2 linked regions of the Stegostoma tigrinum genome follow. Each later gene encodes a partner of the first gene's protein in a complex. Links are inferred from orthologs where the notes say so. Each region holds a gene or a part of one and is shown in the gene's direction. Other genes may lie near its edges.

What was found. Proteins that work in one complex are often made in the same cells at the same time.
Region 2: the proteins of atp7a (region 1) and atox1 are in contact, whole or in part, in an NMR structure (PDB 2K1R), measured with the Homo sapiens proteins. The link is inferred for Stegostoma tigrinum from reciprocal best matches to the Homo sapiens genes ATP7A and ATOX1. Residues at the interface, in NP_000043.4 of Homo sapiens: Cys19, Asn20, Ser21, Cys22, Trp24, Thr25, Gln29, Asp67, Asp68, Met69, Gly70, Phe71, Asp72; in NP_004036.1 of Homo sapiens: Thr11, Cys12, Gly13, Gly14, Cys15, Ala18, Arg21, Val22, Lys25, Lys57, Thr58, Gly59, Lys60.

The regions. Positions count from the first base shown.
Region 1 is NC_081368.1:25,920,559-25,928,199, reverse strand, and holds the start of atp7a (copper-transporting ATPase 1), read left to right. Parts: upstream 1-4,439; 5' UTR 4,440-4,555; intron 4,556-7,396; exon of another isoform or gene 7,397-7,466; intron 7,467-7,641. UniProt on the Homo sapiens protein: ATP-driven copper (Cu(+)) ion pump that plays an important role in intracellular copper ion homeostasis.
Region 2 is NC_081366.1:16,694,853-16,703,213, forward strand, and holds the start of atox1 (copper transport protein ATOX1), read left to right. Parts: upstream 1-5,201; 5' UTR 5,202-5,281; coding exon 5,282-5,287; intron 5,288-8,361. UniProt on the Homo sapiens protein: Binds and deliver cytosolic copper to the copper ATPase proteins. May be important in cellular antioxidant defense.

The DNA.
Region 1 (7,641 bases):
GTTTGCAAAAGACATTGCATGGCTCTTTTTAGCCTTCTTAATTCCATGCTTAAGTTCCTTCCTAATTTCTCTGTACTCCTCAGGGGCTTTGTAAGTTTGTAGCTGCCTCGATCTATAGCATGCTTCCTTTCTCCTTTTGACTAAGCTTACAACTTCCCTTGTTATCCATGGTTCCTGAATCCTGCCATTCCTATCCTTCAGTTTTGCATGAACATGCACATCCTGCTCTTTAATCAACTGGTCTTTAAAAGCCTCCCATATGACAGATGTAGATTTGCCCTCAACTGCTCCCAATTCACATTCCCCAATTCCTGTCTATTTTGGATATAATTGGCCCTTGCCCAATTAAGCATCTTCACCCAAGTGCCAGTTTTGTCCTTGTCCATGACTACTCAAAACCTTATGGAGTTATGGTCATTAAGCCAAAAATGCTTTCCTACTGAAACATCGATCACTTGTCCTGGCTCATTCCCTAATATCAAGTCTTGCACGGCCTCCTCTCTGGTAGGATTGTCAACATACTGTCTCAAAAAGCCCTCCACGACACATTAACAAATTGCTCTCCAACTGAGCCCTTGTGTCTAAGGGAGTTCCAGTCATTATAATCAAGAGAATGCCATTGGTTTGGGACACATTTTCAGGACTTTGCTCAAATATTTCAAGCACAATGTTCGGAAACACTACCATGGGTGAACCCTGGCTCTGTACAAAACAAAATATACCTTTTCAAGTGGTGAACTGCCCAATGTCAATGCATCTTTTGCAAAGGGCTGTTGACAATGTTCTTAGTGTGGCTCTCCCAGAAATTTACACAAGGAAAAAGTAGCCTGTTTAGATTTGTAATCAAACACCCTTGAGATGTAACCTTTTTAACTGATTAGACTTTTTTGATAGCTACTTCAGATTTACTGCATTCTGCACAAATGATTGCTAATCACTCCCAGAACCCATTATCAGATACTTTTACATTTGTGAAGATGTGATATCCTGAAGAAGTGCTGTATTCATAGAACATAGAACATAGAACATTACAGCACAGAACAGGCCCTTCGGCCCTCGATGTTGTGCTGTGAACTAATCTAAGCCCATCCCCCTACACTATCCCATCATCATCCATATGCTTATCCAAGGACTGTTTAAATGCCCCTAATGTGGCTGAGTTAACTACATTGACAGGCAGGGCGTTCCATGCCCTTGCCACTCTCTGAGTAAAGAACCTACCTCTGACATCTGTCTTAAATCTAACACCCCTCAATTTGTAGCTATGCCCCCTCGTACAAGCTGACGTCATCGTCCTCGGAAAGACACTCTCACTGTCCACCCTATCTAATCCTCTGATCATCTTGTATGTCACTATTAATCCCCTCTTAGCCATCTTCTCTCCAATGAGAACAGACCCAAGTCCCTCAGCCTTTCTTCATAAGGCCTTCGCTCCAGAATAGGCAGCATCCTGGTAAATCTCCTCTGCACCTTTTCCAGTGCTTCCACATCCTTCCTGTAATGGGGCGACCAGAACTGCACGCAATATTCCAAGTGAGGCCGCACTAGCGTCTTGTACAGTTACAGCATGACATCACGGCTCCAGAACTCAATCCCTCTACCAATAAAACCTAGAACACCGTAAGCCTTCTTAACAGCACAATCAACCTGGGTGGCAACTTTCAGGGATCTATGTACGTGGACACCAAGACCCCTCTGGACATCCATGCTACCAAGAATCTTTCCATTGACCCAGTATTCTGCCTTCCTATGATTCTTCGCAAAGTGAATCACTTCACATTTATCCGCATTGAACTCCATTTGCCACCTTTCAGCCCAATTCTGCAGTTTATCCAAGTCTCCCTGCAACCTGCAACATTCTTCCACACTGTCCACCACTCCTCTGACTTTAGTGTCATCTGCAAACTTGCTAACCCATCCACTTATGCCTGCGTCCAAGTCATTTATAAAAATGACAAACAGCATTGGTCCTAAAACAGATCTTTGAGGCACAACACTGGTAACCGGATTCCAGGCTGAATATTTTCCATCCACCACCACTCGTTGCCTTCTTACAGAAAGCCAGTTTCTAATCCAAACTGCTAAATCTCCCTCAATCCCGTGCCTCTGTATTTTCTCCAATAGCCTACCATGTGGAACCTTATCAAAGGCTTTACTGAAGTCCATGTACACCATGTCAACTGCCCTACCTTCATCCACATGCTTGGTCACCTTCTCAAAAAACTCAATGAGGTTTGTGAGACACGACCTGCCCTTGACGAATCCATGTTGACAATCTCCAATCAAATTGTTGCTTGCTGGATGATTCTAAATCCTATCTCTTATAATCCTTTCCAAAATTTTTCCGACAACAGATGTAAGGCTCACAGGTCTGTGATTACCTATGTGCTACTCTGAACAGATGCATGACTTTGACTGAATGTTGATTTAGAAGCCATTAATAATGGGTTTGCTCTTGGGCAGCTGGGAATAATATTTCATTCTATTCTCCATATTTCTGCCATGTTCAACAGCTTTATTTATAAGACAAAAAATATGGACTTCTGTGGATCTAAAAGTATTGCTGTTGAGGAATTGATTTGCAAATAGTTCTATCTGTTTAGGTACTGTACTCCCACCTTTCAAAACAACTATAATCACCCCATTGTTGTAAAAAGTCCTTGATCTAACCAAATTTTCTGCAATCTCCTATTGTCTTTCTCTGCATCGTCTTTGAAGTATTGTAAATTTCCAAGATCTACGCAATTTCCAAAAACATTACTAATAAAGTTGACATAGATGCCTTTTGTAACATGACTGTGTGACACTATTTATTACGTTCTTCTTAATACCCCTTTATAGCTGATGACAACATCCTCCTACAAGTTGTTTTGTTGATCCACCTATGCTACAAAGCATACCTTCAGCTATAGGCTTTATTTTTATTGTGACTGAGGCTTAGACAAATGTCCTGAAGAAGGGTCCCTCAAATCAAAAAATGTTGACTTTGCTCTCTGTCAGATTATGCCAGACATGTTGAGTTTCTCCATCAATTTTCTGTTTTTGTTTCAAAGTTCCAGCATCCATTGTTCTTTGTTTTTGTTTTGTTACTTGTTGTTCATTTTCCTCCCTAGTGTCCTAGATATATGAAGCTGCACACTTCATTTGTTCACTGTGCTTGCCTGAATACTCTAACCCTGGAATGTTTTACTAATTTCAGTCAATGGGATTCAGCCTTAGTTTTGATATTCAGACCAAAGCAATTTAAGCAAATTCCCTGATGGTCTCAGTGCCAGAACATCATTTCCAAAGTTTTGAGTATTCATTCACAAACTTGCTTTAAAGGGACATTGAACATTAAGTGTGCAAAAACCTACAATCCCACACCATTAATGAACATGTTGCGCAATTGGCATGAATTATTAAGTTCATTGACTGACTTGACTGACTCCCAGGTTGTCAGTAACTTTAGATGCTTGGTGGAGTCTAGATTCCACATTAGTTGGAGTGTGAGAGGTTGCAGCTCTTGTTCCATTATTTAATTGACTAAATTGTCCCTCAATGTTCGATTCCACTTTCGCTTCATACTCCTATAGTCTCTGGCCATCCAGTGCTGAGGACAGTAGAGGGCCTCTTAGTGGGTCTAGCTGCTGAGCCTGGCTGGAGTGACCACCCACATCTTTAAGCTGTGAGGGGGAAGTGGCATTAAAACTGAGAAGGAACCTCTCCACCCAGACTAGCAAACCTAAGCAATTCGCAGCAACAGAAAGCCATTGAAAGCAAAACAGTGAAGGAGTCAGATACAGACATTCCTCAGTCTCTGTGATGGTGTTGTTCCCTGAATGATGAAATTGGCGAGCACGGAGTCCATTAAAAGTAGCTTAAAATTTGTTGATAGGTGGGTTTGCCCGCTGGTGATGAATTGTGTTGCTGCTTACTTTTTGGGACAGACAGGTGAAATTGCTGAGAGAGAGAAGGTTTACTGTATACTTTTAGGGCTAAAGAGATCAAAGGAAAAAGGCATAAAGTGGGATTAGGGTACTAAATTCGATGATTTTATTGAATGCTGGAGGAGGCTCGAAGGATTGAATGGCCTGCTTCTGCTCCTGTTTTCAATATTTTCTTTGTTTGTTGGAGCCCTGAGTAGCAGCACAGAGTCTGTCACTATCTTCCAGTAATTAGACTTAGAATTAATTCATTTTCTAAGCAACCTTCATGTTAACTTTTAGTTTTTTTTCATTTGTGGAGCGTTATTTGAAAACACACTTTTGCTGCTGTTTTTGAGCTTACTGTACCCACTGACCCCTTCATATTTTGATGAAGAACTATCCAACATTGTCCTCTCCCTCCTCCCCTTCCATTCCTTTGATTGACAGTCCATGTTCAGTGACGTCAGCATCATCTGGTCCCGCCCCATGTCACGAAAGTCATCCGCGTGCATGCGCAGCGCGGGTTCCACTCCTTAATCTCATCCCTCCGGGAATCTCTGGTGGCGACGATCCGTTCCGGAGGTAGTAGTCGTCTTTGGTGGTGTGTTGTTCCCGGGAAGAACAGAAGTGATCGGCCGAGGCCTAAGGTGAGCAGCCGCTGGTGATGCTGTCGCGTAAATATAAAACTTTACTTTTTGTGTAAATTACAAAAAAGAACATGCCTTTTGTGCCACAGTGAGGGAGAAATGAGTTACAGCTTCAATTCCTTGGAATCTTCTAAATAAACAACAGGTTCTAACGTGGATCAGCATGAAAACAAACATAGCATAACAAAGGAATTAATAATAATGCAATATGTTCAATAGAATCAAGCAAATTCCAGGAAGTTCCAGGAAACAGAATGAGAAATAATACTGTCAGACAGAACGAAGGTTCTTGTGAATTGAATATTTTGTGGAAACTTGGTGCAGATGTATTTTGAAGTTGTGTATTAAAGGGGAGGTAGTATTGGAAGTGCTTGTATGTGAGATGGATTATTAGTGACTTTGAAGCAGTTTGTATTTATAATGTACAAAAACCATCTCAAGATTCTTTACAGAAGTATAACCACACAAACACTGACTCGGGAGACGTGAGGGGGCTGACTAGCAGCTTGATCAAAGGGATAGGCTTTAAGAAGAGTTTTTTAAAAAAAAAATCAGACAAAGAAGAGAAGGGAGAGAAGCAGAAGTGAGTCACATGAGCGAGATAAATTTTGTGTGTTATGAGGGAGCTGCAGAAATTACCAAAAAAAACTCGCAGTTCTGGACTAGACTGCGCTGAGCCTTGGCTGAGTGGGAAGGCAGCTGAGTAAAAGGTGATCCCCATCTTTATAACTTGATGGAGGGACAACATTTACAGATTTACATTTTATTTTCACTAAATTGCTCTGTAGAGGAAAGCTTATGATTTTTCTGTTTTTATAGTTTAAAGGATTTTTTGTTCTCCTAGTTCCTGACTACTCATGGGTACTCCAACTTTGCTGCTAGACATTGCTGCTTCACGACGGAGACAAACCTCAGAGGATCTCTCTCCCACTGCAAATCTCTTGTCCATCCCTGCCTCTTTAACTTGTCTGTACCCTCTCCACGTAACTTCTCCTCTATCCATCTTCAATCTCCCCCCCCCGTTATTTCAGAACGCTGTTCCCCTCCCCCATTTCTGATGAAGAGTCTAGGCCCGAAATGTCGCTTTTGTGCTCCTAAGATGCTGCTTGGCCTGCTGTGTTCATCCAGCTCCACACCTTGTTTGCTCACAACGACAGGGTACTGGATTCAGTTCCACCCTTAGGTGACTGTGTGGAATTTGCATATTCTTCTGTGTCTGCTTGGACTTCCTCCAGGTGCTCCAGTTTCCTCCCACAGGCGAAAGATGTGCAGGTTAGGTGGATTGGCCGTGTTAAATTGCCCATAGTGTTCAGGGATGTGTACGTTGGGTGGGTTGTATGGGAATGTATCTCAGTGGGATGTTCTGAGGGTTGTGTGGACTTATTGGGCCGAAGGGCCTGTTTCCACACTGTAGGGATTCTGTGATCTTGATGTGATGATTCTTGTACTGTTCGTTATGAGGGGCATCATTTTTGAGGCAGATTCTACACATTTTGGACCTCCAGATGATAGCTGGTGGTGCAGCACTCTCAACACTATAGGCCAGTGTCAGCCTAGATTATGTGGTTGTGCTATGGACTTAGACTTGGATCTACACCCCAGTGATTCATAGATGAGAAAACAATTAAGTACGTTAGCTGACATAGTGACTTACCACTCGGCCAGCCATTATCTAAATAGCTTTGTGGTGAGTTATTTTACAGAACTGAAAGTTGCATTAATATAGTTGTTGTATGGCAAGCAAGGAAATGACACAAGTGAACTTGTGGTGAAAATGTATTGTTGAGGACGTTATTATGGTGAGAGCTTAATAGTATAGGTGAAGTGTCGAGGAATAATAGCACATCTGGTGAGCCTTAACTTGTTACATCAGTATAGAATTTAATTGAAATGTTTAGACGACTTACGTATGATGTATACCTGGACTAAATTGAATGTTGGTGTTCAATGCAAGCTTTTAAGAGAATGTATATACCACTCGATCCCTCCTCTTGCTTCAAGTAAGTTGCTCACAGGTTGTTATTCTCTGTAGCATTACTTTACTTTTTTTATGTATTGAAGAAATGAAAGTGTTAGTTAAAAGTATTATCAGAAGGCGAATGACTTTGTTGAGAACAAATTGTGATTATATCATAATTCAGAGTCATAGAGATATACAGTACAATTTTTGGTCCAACTCATCCATGCTGACCAGATATCCTAAACTAAACTAGTCCCATTTGCTAGATTTGGCCCATATCCCTCTAAACCCTTCTTATTCATGTACCCATGCAGATGCCTTTTAAATGTTGTAATTGTACCAGCCTCCTCCACTCCATCTGGTAGTTCATTCCGACACACATCACCTGTGCATGAAAAAGTTGTCCCTTACCTCCCTTTTAAATCTTTCTCCTCTCACTTTTAACCTATGCTTCTATTTTGAACTCCCCTACTCTGTGGAAAAGACCTTGACTACTCAGCCTATCCATGCCTCTCGTGATTTTATAAACCTCTATAAGCCACTGAAGTTCCAAGGAAAGTAGCCCCAGTCTATTCAGTGTCTCCCTATTGTTCAAACCCTCCAACGTTGGCAACATCTTTGTAGAACTTGTCTGAGCCTTTCAAGTTTAACAACATCCTTCCTATTGCAGGGAGACCAGAATTGAATGCAGTATTCCAAAAGTGGCCTGACCAATGTCCGGTACAGCTGTCACATGACCTCCTAACTTGATGTACAGACCAATAAGGACAAGCATACCAAACACCACCTTCACAATCTTGTCTACCTGTGACTGTATTTTCAAGGAACTATGAACTTGCATTCAAAGGTCTCTTTGTTCATAGTAATTATCAATCCGTAGCCTTAGTTTAAGTTATCCAGCCTTCTGTTCAGATTGGATTGATCACCTTCTGGGGAGAGGTAGAGGTTGAGGTAAGAACGGGAAAGATAGGAAGAAAATTTGAGGACAGCCAAAATCTAAAATCTTGCTTCAGAGACACTGAAGTACGTAAAGCCACTAGTTTATAACAATACTGCATATTTTTGTGGTGATTGCACGGTTAGTCTTAATCATTTACCAGTTGTTAAATAGATATCCGTGAAGGTT
Region 2 (8,361 bases), on another chromosome or scaffold:
CCACTGGGCTGAGAAGCTGAGAGGAAATAAAAAGAGAAGAGGCCAACTTTTTCAAGGAGCAGTAATCTCTTGCACCAGATCATTTTACTCAGACTTTATTTTATGGTAGAATTTCTGACATGAGATACCAGTCAGGACTTCTTCAGTAATATGGAGCCATCTTCCAACCTCACAGTGTCAGGGGAAGGCAAGTCTTTTTTCAGCTGTCAGTGCCATATTCTGAAATGTAAAAATCCAGAATCACAGACAGCCAGTTTGACACTGCTGGCTAAAGGAAAGTACGTAAGGTATGTGTGGCCTTAGGGCGTCAGAGGGTAAGGTGCCAGCTTTTTAGGGAACAGGACACCAGGTGGAGAGGGTGCCAAATAGTACGAGGTAGCATGCCAGGACGGTAGGGGATAGGGTGTCAACAAGTAACAAATAAACAGATGGATAGGCTATCACACAAGTAGGGTGCTCAGGCGCAAATAAGTGACAAATAAGGTGGTTTAGGATGGGTGGGTAAAACTGGATATTGTGGTGTTGGAAAGACATCAAGTCCTGGGGTGGGTAGTGTTGTCGGGTTCTGGTGTAAGAAATGGTGTTGGGTCAGGATCTGGGGTGGGAGTGGTAAAGGATCAGGGAGATGTGTTGTTGGAACGTGCAAGGTGAGTTGGGGGGGGATGGGTAGTCAGTTAAAAAGCTAACTTAGAAGTTAGACGAAGTCTAACAGTGGCTTTTTCTGGAGCAGGGTCTCGTCAGTGCCTGGTTATCTCTGTAGCCACAAGAGATCATCCAATGTGTTTTCAGTTGCCTTTTCCCTGCTTTGAACATTAATAGTTTGAGGTTGTGTCTTTAGGTTTGACTTTCCATGGGTCACTCCATTGCCAAACAATGCTTCATTTACATCAGCGGCCATTTTTGGCAGTATGACCCCTCTTCTGAAGACACAATTACAAGGAAACTGCCCATCATACTTTGGGGTTCTGAGCCATGTTCATTGCTGAAGAGGTATAATCAGTTTAAGTTAGATAAAGTTTAACTTTTCAGTCATTTTCTAAAAACAAATAGGAACCACTTGTTGTGCAAAGGCAGCACACAGAGTGTAGGAGTTATACTATCAGTCAGACAAAAACAGCCCTGAGTGAAATATAAACAATGCCTGTGAAATCTGTGAGAAAATGGTAGATGATACAATATTATAAAAACAAAGAACTGCAGATGCTGGAAATCTGAAACATGAACAGAAAATGTTGGAGAAACGCAGGGCCAGTTTGAGTCTAGTGACCCTTCGTCAGATAGTGTAAGATATATGTGTTGTAATGGTTTGTATAAAGTTTAGAGGTGTAAATGGTTCTCTTTATGTATATGTGAAAATCAACAATCTTTGACCTGATTTCCTGTGAACTCTTATTGCTTTGGCAAGCTGTCCAATAAGAATGACAAACACATCATCAAGCTAAAGCCAGTAAGAGTCAGAAGTACACTCACACCACAAGAAGATCTAGAACAACAACTTACATTCATATAGTGCTTTTAGATTTTAAAACAAACCAAACTGCTTTATAAAGGCATTGTCATCAAAAATTGATGCCAAGCCACATATATGTTGGCCAAAAGCTTCTTCAAAGCAGTAAATTTTATGGTACATCTTAAAGAGAGAAGGAATGGTAACAAGGTTGAGAGATATAGGATGAGTGCAGCCCCAACAACACTCAAGAAGCTTGACTCCATCCAGGAAAAACGAGCCCGTTTGATTGGCACTACACCCACAAGCATTCACTCCCTCCACCACCGACACCCTGCAGCAGCAGTGAATACTATTTACAACATGCACTGCAGAAATTCACCAAAGATCATCAGACAGCACCTTCCAAACCCACCACCACTTCCATCTAGAGGGACAAGGGTATCAGATATATGAGAACACCACCACCTCAAAGTTCCTCTCCAAGCAACTCACCATCCTGACGTGGAAGTGTGTTGCTGTTCCTTCACTGTCGCTGGTTCAACATCCTGGAATTCCCTCCCTGATAGCATTGTGGGTCAACCCGCAGAAGGAGGACCGCAGCGATTCAAGAAGGCAGCTCATCACCACCTTCTCAAGGGCAACTACTGATGGGCAAGAAATGCTGCCAGCCAGCAATGCTCACATCCCACAAATAAATAGGAAAAAAAGGTAGTGTGGGAATTCCAGAGCTTAGGGTCCAGTGCTGGTGTGATAAAAAATGGGGATGTGGAAGTAGCCATAATCGGAGGAACAGAGAGATATTGGAGAAGTGAAGAACTTGAGGGGAAATATTGAGAGAGATAGGGTTAAAGTCATTGAATAATTGAAAACAATGGCAAAAATCTAAAATTTCTAAGGCTGCAAGGACAGAAATCCATGTAGGTCAACTAGCACAGAGCTGATAGATGAACAGTACTTTGTGCCATTTAGAATATGGGAGCCACTGTTTTGAATGACCATTCTACTTTGGTTGCATAAGACCTATCTGTAACATCAAGTGGTAGGACAAGATCGCTGACACTCAAATTTCTTTGCAAGGTACATGTTCACCAGAAAGCAGCTTTGCTGAAACAACTATGCAGTACACACGGAATTGTCCTGTGGTATTCTTCAGCCAGCTGGGCACAGAAACCCACACCACAGGACATTCCAAACCTAGACGCAAAGACATCCTTGAAGTCAATCTAAGACCCTGTACCTTGGATAACCCAGTTTCCTCCCCAGGAGGAGAAACAACCCCAGATCTTTACACCATCAAGCAATAAAGAAGAGCCATAAAAACATTTTTTCTTCCAAACTAGAACCTCAATCCAATGTCCCTTCAAATAGTAACAAGCCTACATTCTGGAAATCACCCATACTCTGGGATTCATTCCAGCACTGACAGGTCAACACACAGCTTAGGACAAAGGAACATTGAAATATTTCCTTTAGCTCCCCCCGAGCGGTGTTGTCTTAATACTGCTCACAGCCATAAATGACAACAAACTCTATGTTTAACTAACTCACCCACATTAAAGCAAGATTTTGCAGAAGCTGGAAAACTGAGAAGAACACAGAAAATGCTGTAGAAACTCAAAAAAATTGTCTTTTGATGTGTTATGTCAGTTCCAAGATTTCCAGTTTTCTGGCCCTAGCCACCTCCTTTCCTCTATGGATGAGAAATTCTTCTACACATCCATTCCCCCATCAGGATTAGCTGTGAGGTCTCTGCTTCTACCTTGAAAAGAGATCTGCATTGCCTCCATTACTGCCACCCTCCATCGCTTGGCTGGGCTTGTTCTCACTTAATTTCTCCTTCAACTCATCTCATTTTCTCCAAGTCAAACATGTGGCCATGGACCCCTGCATGGGTCCCTGGCGAGCCTGTCTCTTTGTGGGGTATGTGGAACACTCCTTGTTCCAGCCCTACTCAGGCTTCCACCCACAAGTCTTTCTCTGGTACATTAATAGTATCTTCCTGCTATTGCCTGGAATTTGAAAAAAATGTCTTGCTTCCAATTGCCATCTTTCTCACACCTCCACCTGCATCTGACTCTTTCCTTCCCTCACTTGACTTCAGTGTTTTCATTTCTGTGGATGAGCTGTCCCCCAGGTATCCACTACAACCCATTGATTCTCAGTGAAGGTTATCTAAGATTGCAAAGAGGTCTTGATCAATTGGGTCAATGGGCTGAGGAATGGCAGATGGAGTTTATCTTAGATAAATGTGAGGTATTGCATTTTGTTAAAACAAAAAGGGCGGGACTTACAAAACTAATGGGAAAGCCTTGGGCTGTGTTGTCCAGCAGAGACTTAGGGGTTCAGGTACATAATTCTTTGAAATTTGCTTCACAGGTAGACAGGGTGGTTAGGAAGGCATTTGCGTGCTTGCCTTCATGGCTCAGACCATTGAGTGTAGGAGTTGGGAATGGTATGTTGAGGTTGTGCAGGACATTGCTGAGGACTCGTCTGGAATACTTTGTGCAATTGTGGCCACCCTGTTACAGGAAGGACATTATTAAACTGGAGGGTTCAGAAAAGATTTACCAGGATGTTGCCAAGGATAGAAGGTTTCAGTTGTAGGAATAAGCCAGGTTAGGCTGGAACTTTTTTCACTGCAGCACAGGAAGTTTGGGGGTTGGGGGTGACATTCGCCTCTAATTGAGTTGTGGGTCTGAAGTATAGCCCGCGGGCTCCGCCTAGTGAGGGATCGCTGCGTTGCGTGTTTGGATTGGGGGGGGCCGGGCGCTCCTCCTAGCGGTGGCTGGCTGCGTTGCAAGTCGGGGTGGAGTGTCAGGTCGCCGGTTTGTGAGACGTCAAAGGCTCCGCGGGCTCCCCGTAGCGGCGAATCACTGGGTTGCCAGACAGCGGGTGGGCCCACGGGTTCCCCCTAGTGGCGGATCGCTCGGTTGCATCAGAGATAATGGGAACTGCAGATGCTGGAGAATCCAAGATAACAAAGTGTGGAGCTGGATGAACACAGCAGGCCAAGCAGCATCTCAGGAGCACAAAAGCTGACGTTTCGTGCCTAGACCCTTCATCAGAAAAGGGGGATGGGGAGAGGGTTCTGGAATAAATAGGGAGAGAGGGGGAGGCGGACCGAAGATGGAGAGAAAAGAAGATAGGTGGAGAGAGTATAGGTGGGGAGGTAGAGAGGGGATAGGTCAGTCCAGGGAAGATGGACAGGTCAAGGAGGTGGGATGAGGTTAGTAGGTAGGAGATGGAGGTGCAGCTTTAGGTGGGAGGAAGGGATGGGTGAGAGAACCCACTGCATCCCAAAACCAGCCCAACCCGTGCTTCCTCTCACCCATCCCTTCCTCCCACCACAAGCCGCACCCCCATCTACCTACTAACCTCATCCCACCTCCTTGACCTGTCCATCTTCCCTGGACTGACCTATCCCCTCCCTACCTCCCCACCTATACTCTCTCCACCTATCTTCTTTACTCTCCATCTTCGGTCCGCCTCCCCCCTCTCCCTATTTATTCCAGTTCCCTCTCCCCATCCCCCTCTCTGATGAAGGGTCTAGGCCCGAAACGTCAGCTTTTGTGCTCCTGAGATGCTGCTTGGCCTGCTCGGGTGCGTGCCAGGTTTTTTTTGGGGTGGGGGCGCTGGTTCCCCCTAGCGGCGGATCGCTGGTTCCCCCTAGCGGCGGATCGCTGGGTTGCGAGTCAGGCGGGTGGGCCCGCGGTCGCCCCCTAGCGGCCCTATTTGTGCCGGTGAATGGGCAGTTGCGCATGCGCCGAGGTGACAGCCGGTTGTGGACGAGGTTGGGAGCAGGAGCAGAGAGGCGGAGACCCCGGAGTCATCATGGCGGTGAGGCGGAGGGGGAAGTTGTGGGGGTGTGTGGGCTCGAAGCCCGGGGTGGGGTCCACGCAAACACCGCGCTTGTCACGGGGACCCGCGCTCTGGATCAGTACGGCCTGAGCGATTGTTTGTATTTCCTAGCGGTTGGACCATCCTTCCCCCCCCGGAGCTGGGGCCTTTCCCTCGCCCGTCCGCCTGGGCTATGAGTACAGCTGGCTGTTCGGCTACAGGAGGCGTATTACACCCTTGCCGAGTCCCCGGTCTAGCTGCTCCCGCGAAATGGCGCAGCAGAAAGTGTTTGCATTCCCAGAGATGTTTCGAGGCTAATTTTTTTTTAGGGCACAACCTTTTTGCAAGGCTGATGACAACAAATGGTCTGGGGTTTTGTGGGGAGGGGTGGGGGGAGAACTTGATACACATTTTCTGTCGAATGCATTGAGACCAGTTTGGATTTTGTCTCAGAGAGGGTAGGAGAGGTGAATCACAGGGTTGTAAGTTACTCTCCAAAAACTGAATGCAAAATCTGGGCCGGTACTTCGGTGCAGTACTGAGGGAGCGCTGCACTGGAGGATGGGCATTCCTGATTTCAGACAAAGAGTTACATCAAAGTCCCACCTCTGGCAAGAATGTGCAAGGTCTCATGGCACTATTTGAAAATGTTTCTCTCTACGCAATTCAGTCGATAAGCTCAAGAACAGAAGTTGCTGGAAAAGACTCAACAGGTCTAGCAGCACCTGTGCAAACAAAGTTTAACTTTTGGGTCCAATGACCCTTCTTCAGACCTTCGGTGTTTAGTAGAAGAGTTACTGAACTTGAACGTTTAACTCTGCTTTCTATGTCCAGATGCTACTAGACTTACTGAGTTTCTCCAGCAACTTCTGTTTTTTTTTTCAAAATTTCCAGGATCAGTTTTTTTTGGTATCTTTGATTCAGTAGGTACGGTGGTCAGTTCTGATGAAGTCTCAGGGGATTCAAATGTTCACTTTAGTGGCATGGGATCCTTTGTATGAGGCAAATGAGCTCAGAGCATGGATTGGCTGTGGGGACTGGGATATTATAGTCATAACAGAAACATGGCTAAGAGAAAGGCAGGATCGGCAGCTCAATGTTCCAGGATACAGAAGCTGCAGAGTGATAGAAGTACAAGTGAGGAGGGGGAGTTGCCCGTTTGATACGGGAGGACATAACAACAGAGCTTAGAGAACATATTCTTAAGGGGGTCATTAGATGATACCAAATGGTTTGAATTTAGAAACAAGAAGGGGATGCTCACTTTGTGACTTGTTATAGACCCCCAAATAGACAGCGGATACTAAAGGAGCAGATGTGTAGAGAGATTGCAGATGCACGTAGGAATAATAGAGTAGTACCGATTGGAGACTTTATTTTCTCCTGTATTGACCCAGAAGGTAAAAAGCCTGGATGAGGTGAAATTTGACAGATGTGAACAAGAAAGTTTCCTAAGTGAATATTTAGAGGGCCCTACTCGGGAGGGTGCAACACAGGAAATCCTCTTAGAAAACAAGGTCAGGCAAGTGACTGAAGTGTCAATCAGAGAGCACTTTAGGTCCATTGACCATAACTCTCATACTTATGGGAAAAGATAGAACAGGTCCGCAGGTTAAGGTGCTGAACTGCAGCAGGGCCAGTTTTGGAGCTATTAGGCAGGATCTATCAGAGGTCGATTGGGTGAGTCTGTTTGAAGGAAAAGGAACCACTACCAAATGGTAGACCTGGATGAACACAGCAGGCCAAGTAGTATCTTAGGAGCAGAAAAGCTGACATTTCGGGCCTAGATCCGTCATCAGAAAGGAGGCGGAGGAGGGGGAGGCGGATCAAAAATGGGTAGAGGAGAAGATTGGTGGAGAGGAAACAGACAAGTTAAAGAGGCAGGGATGGAGCCAGTAGAGGTGAGTGTAGGTGGGGAGGTAGGGAGGGGATAGGTCAGTCCGGGGAGGATGGACAGGTTGAGGTTAGTAGGTAGGAAATGGGGGTGTGGCTTGAGGTAGGAGGAGGGGATAGGTGAGAGGAACAGGTTAGGCAGGCGGGCACGAGCTGTGCTGGCTTTGGGATGAGTAGGGTGGGGGAGATTTTGAAGCTTGTGAAATCCACATTGATACCATTAGGCTGCAGGGTTCCCAAGCGGAATACGAGTTGCTGTTCCTGCAACTTTCGGGTGGCATCGTTGTGGCACTGCAGGAGGCCCAGGATGGACATGTCGTCTAAGGAATGGGAGGGGGAGTTGAAATGGTTCGCGACTGGGAGGTGCAATTGCTTATTGCAAACCAAGCGTAGGTGTTCTACAAAGCGGCCCCCAAGCCTCCGCTTTGTTTCCCCGATGTAGAGGAGGCCACAACGGGTACAGCAGATGCAGTATACCACATTGGCAGATGTGCAGGTGAATATCTGCTTGTTGTGACACTGATTTATAGTGATTGCATAGAAAGTTATCTCCATTTCTTTTGCCAGTTAGTGATTAGGATTTGGAGTCCACTGCCTGAAAAGATAATGAGTATGGTTTAGTAGTAACTCTCTTAGTGACCTTTATGAGTGTTTGGAGGAGAACAAAATTTCAGAGATAAGGGGAAAGAGTGGGGGAAAAGCAACTTACTACATGGCTGTTCAAAAACGTGGACATGTTTCATGTGATAAATGGCTTCCATTTATACCATAATTCTCTGGTTCTTTGTTCATCCACCTCAGTCTTGTTATTTTGAGTTTGTGAGACAACGTATATAGTGTCCGTTTTGTTTAAATATCTCCATCACATGCATAATTTGATAATTTTAATAACGGATCATTGGGATTCTGAAAACAGCAATTTTTATTTCTATCAAACCTTTAGTAAAATGTTTTAACAGAGCATTATAATCCAAGATTTGCCACAGAAGTACATGCCAGGTGATTTTTAGTGAATGACTAATAAGTTTTGTTTAAAGATCTGTGTTAAGGAAGGGAGAGCAGTTAAGAGGCCCAGTGGTTAAACTGAGAAATTCCAGGACTTGGCCACCAAGTATGTCATGATTAAAACTGATGTGATTCAAGAGGTCACAATTAGTGAAGTGAGCATATCTACTGAAGGA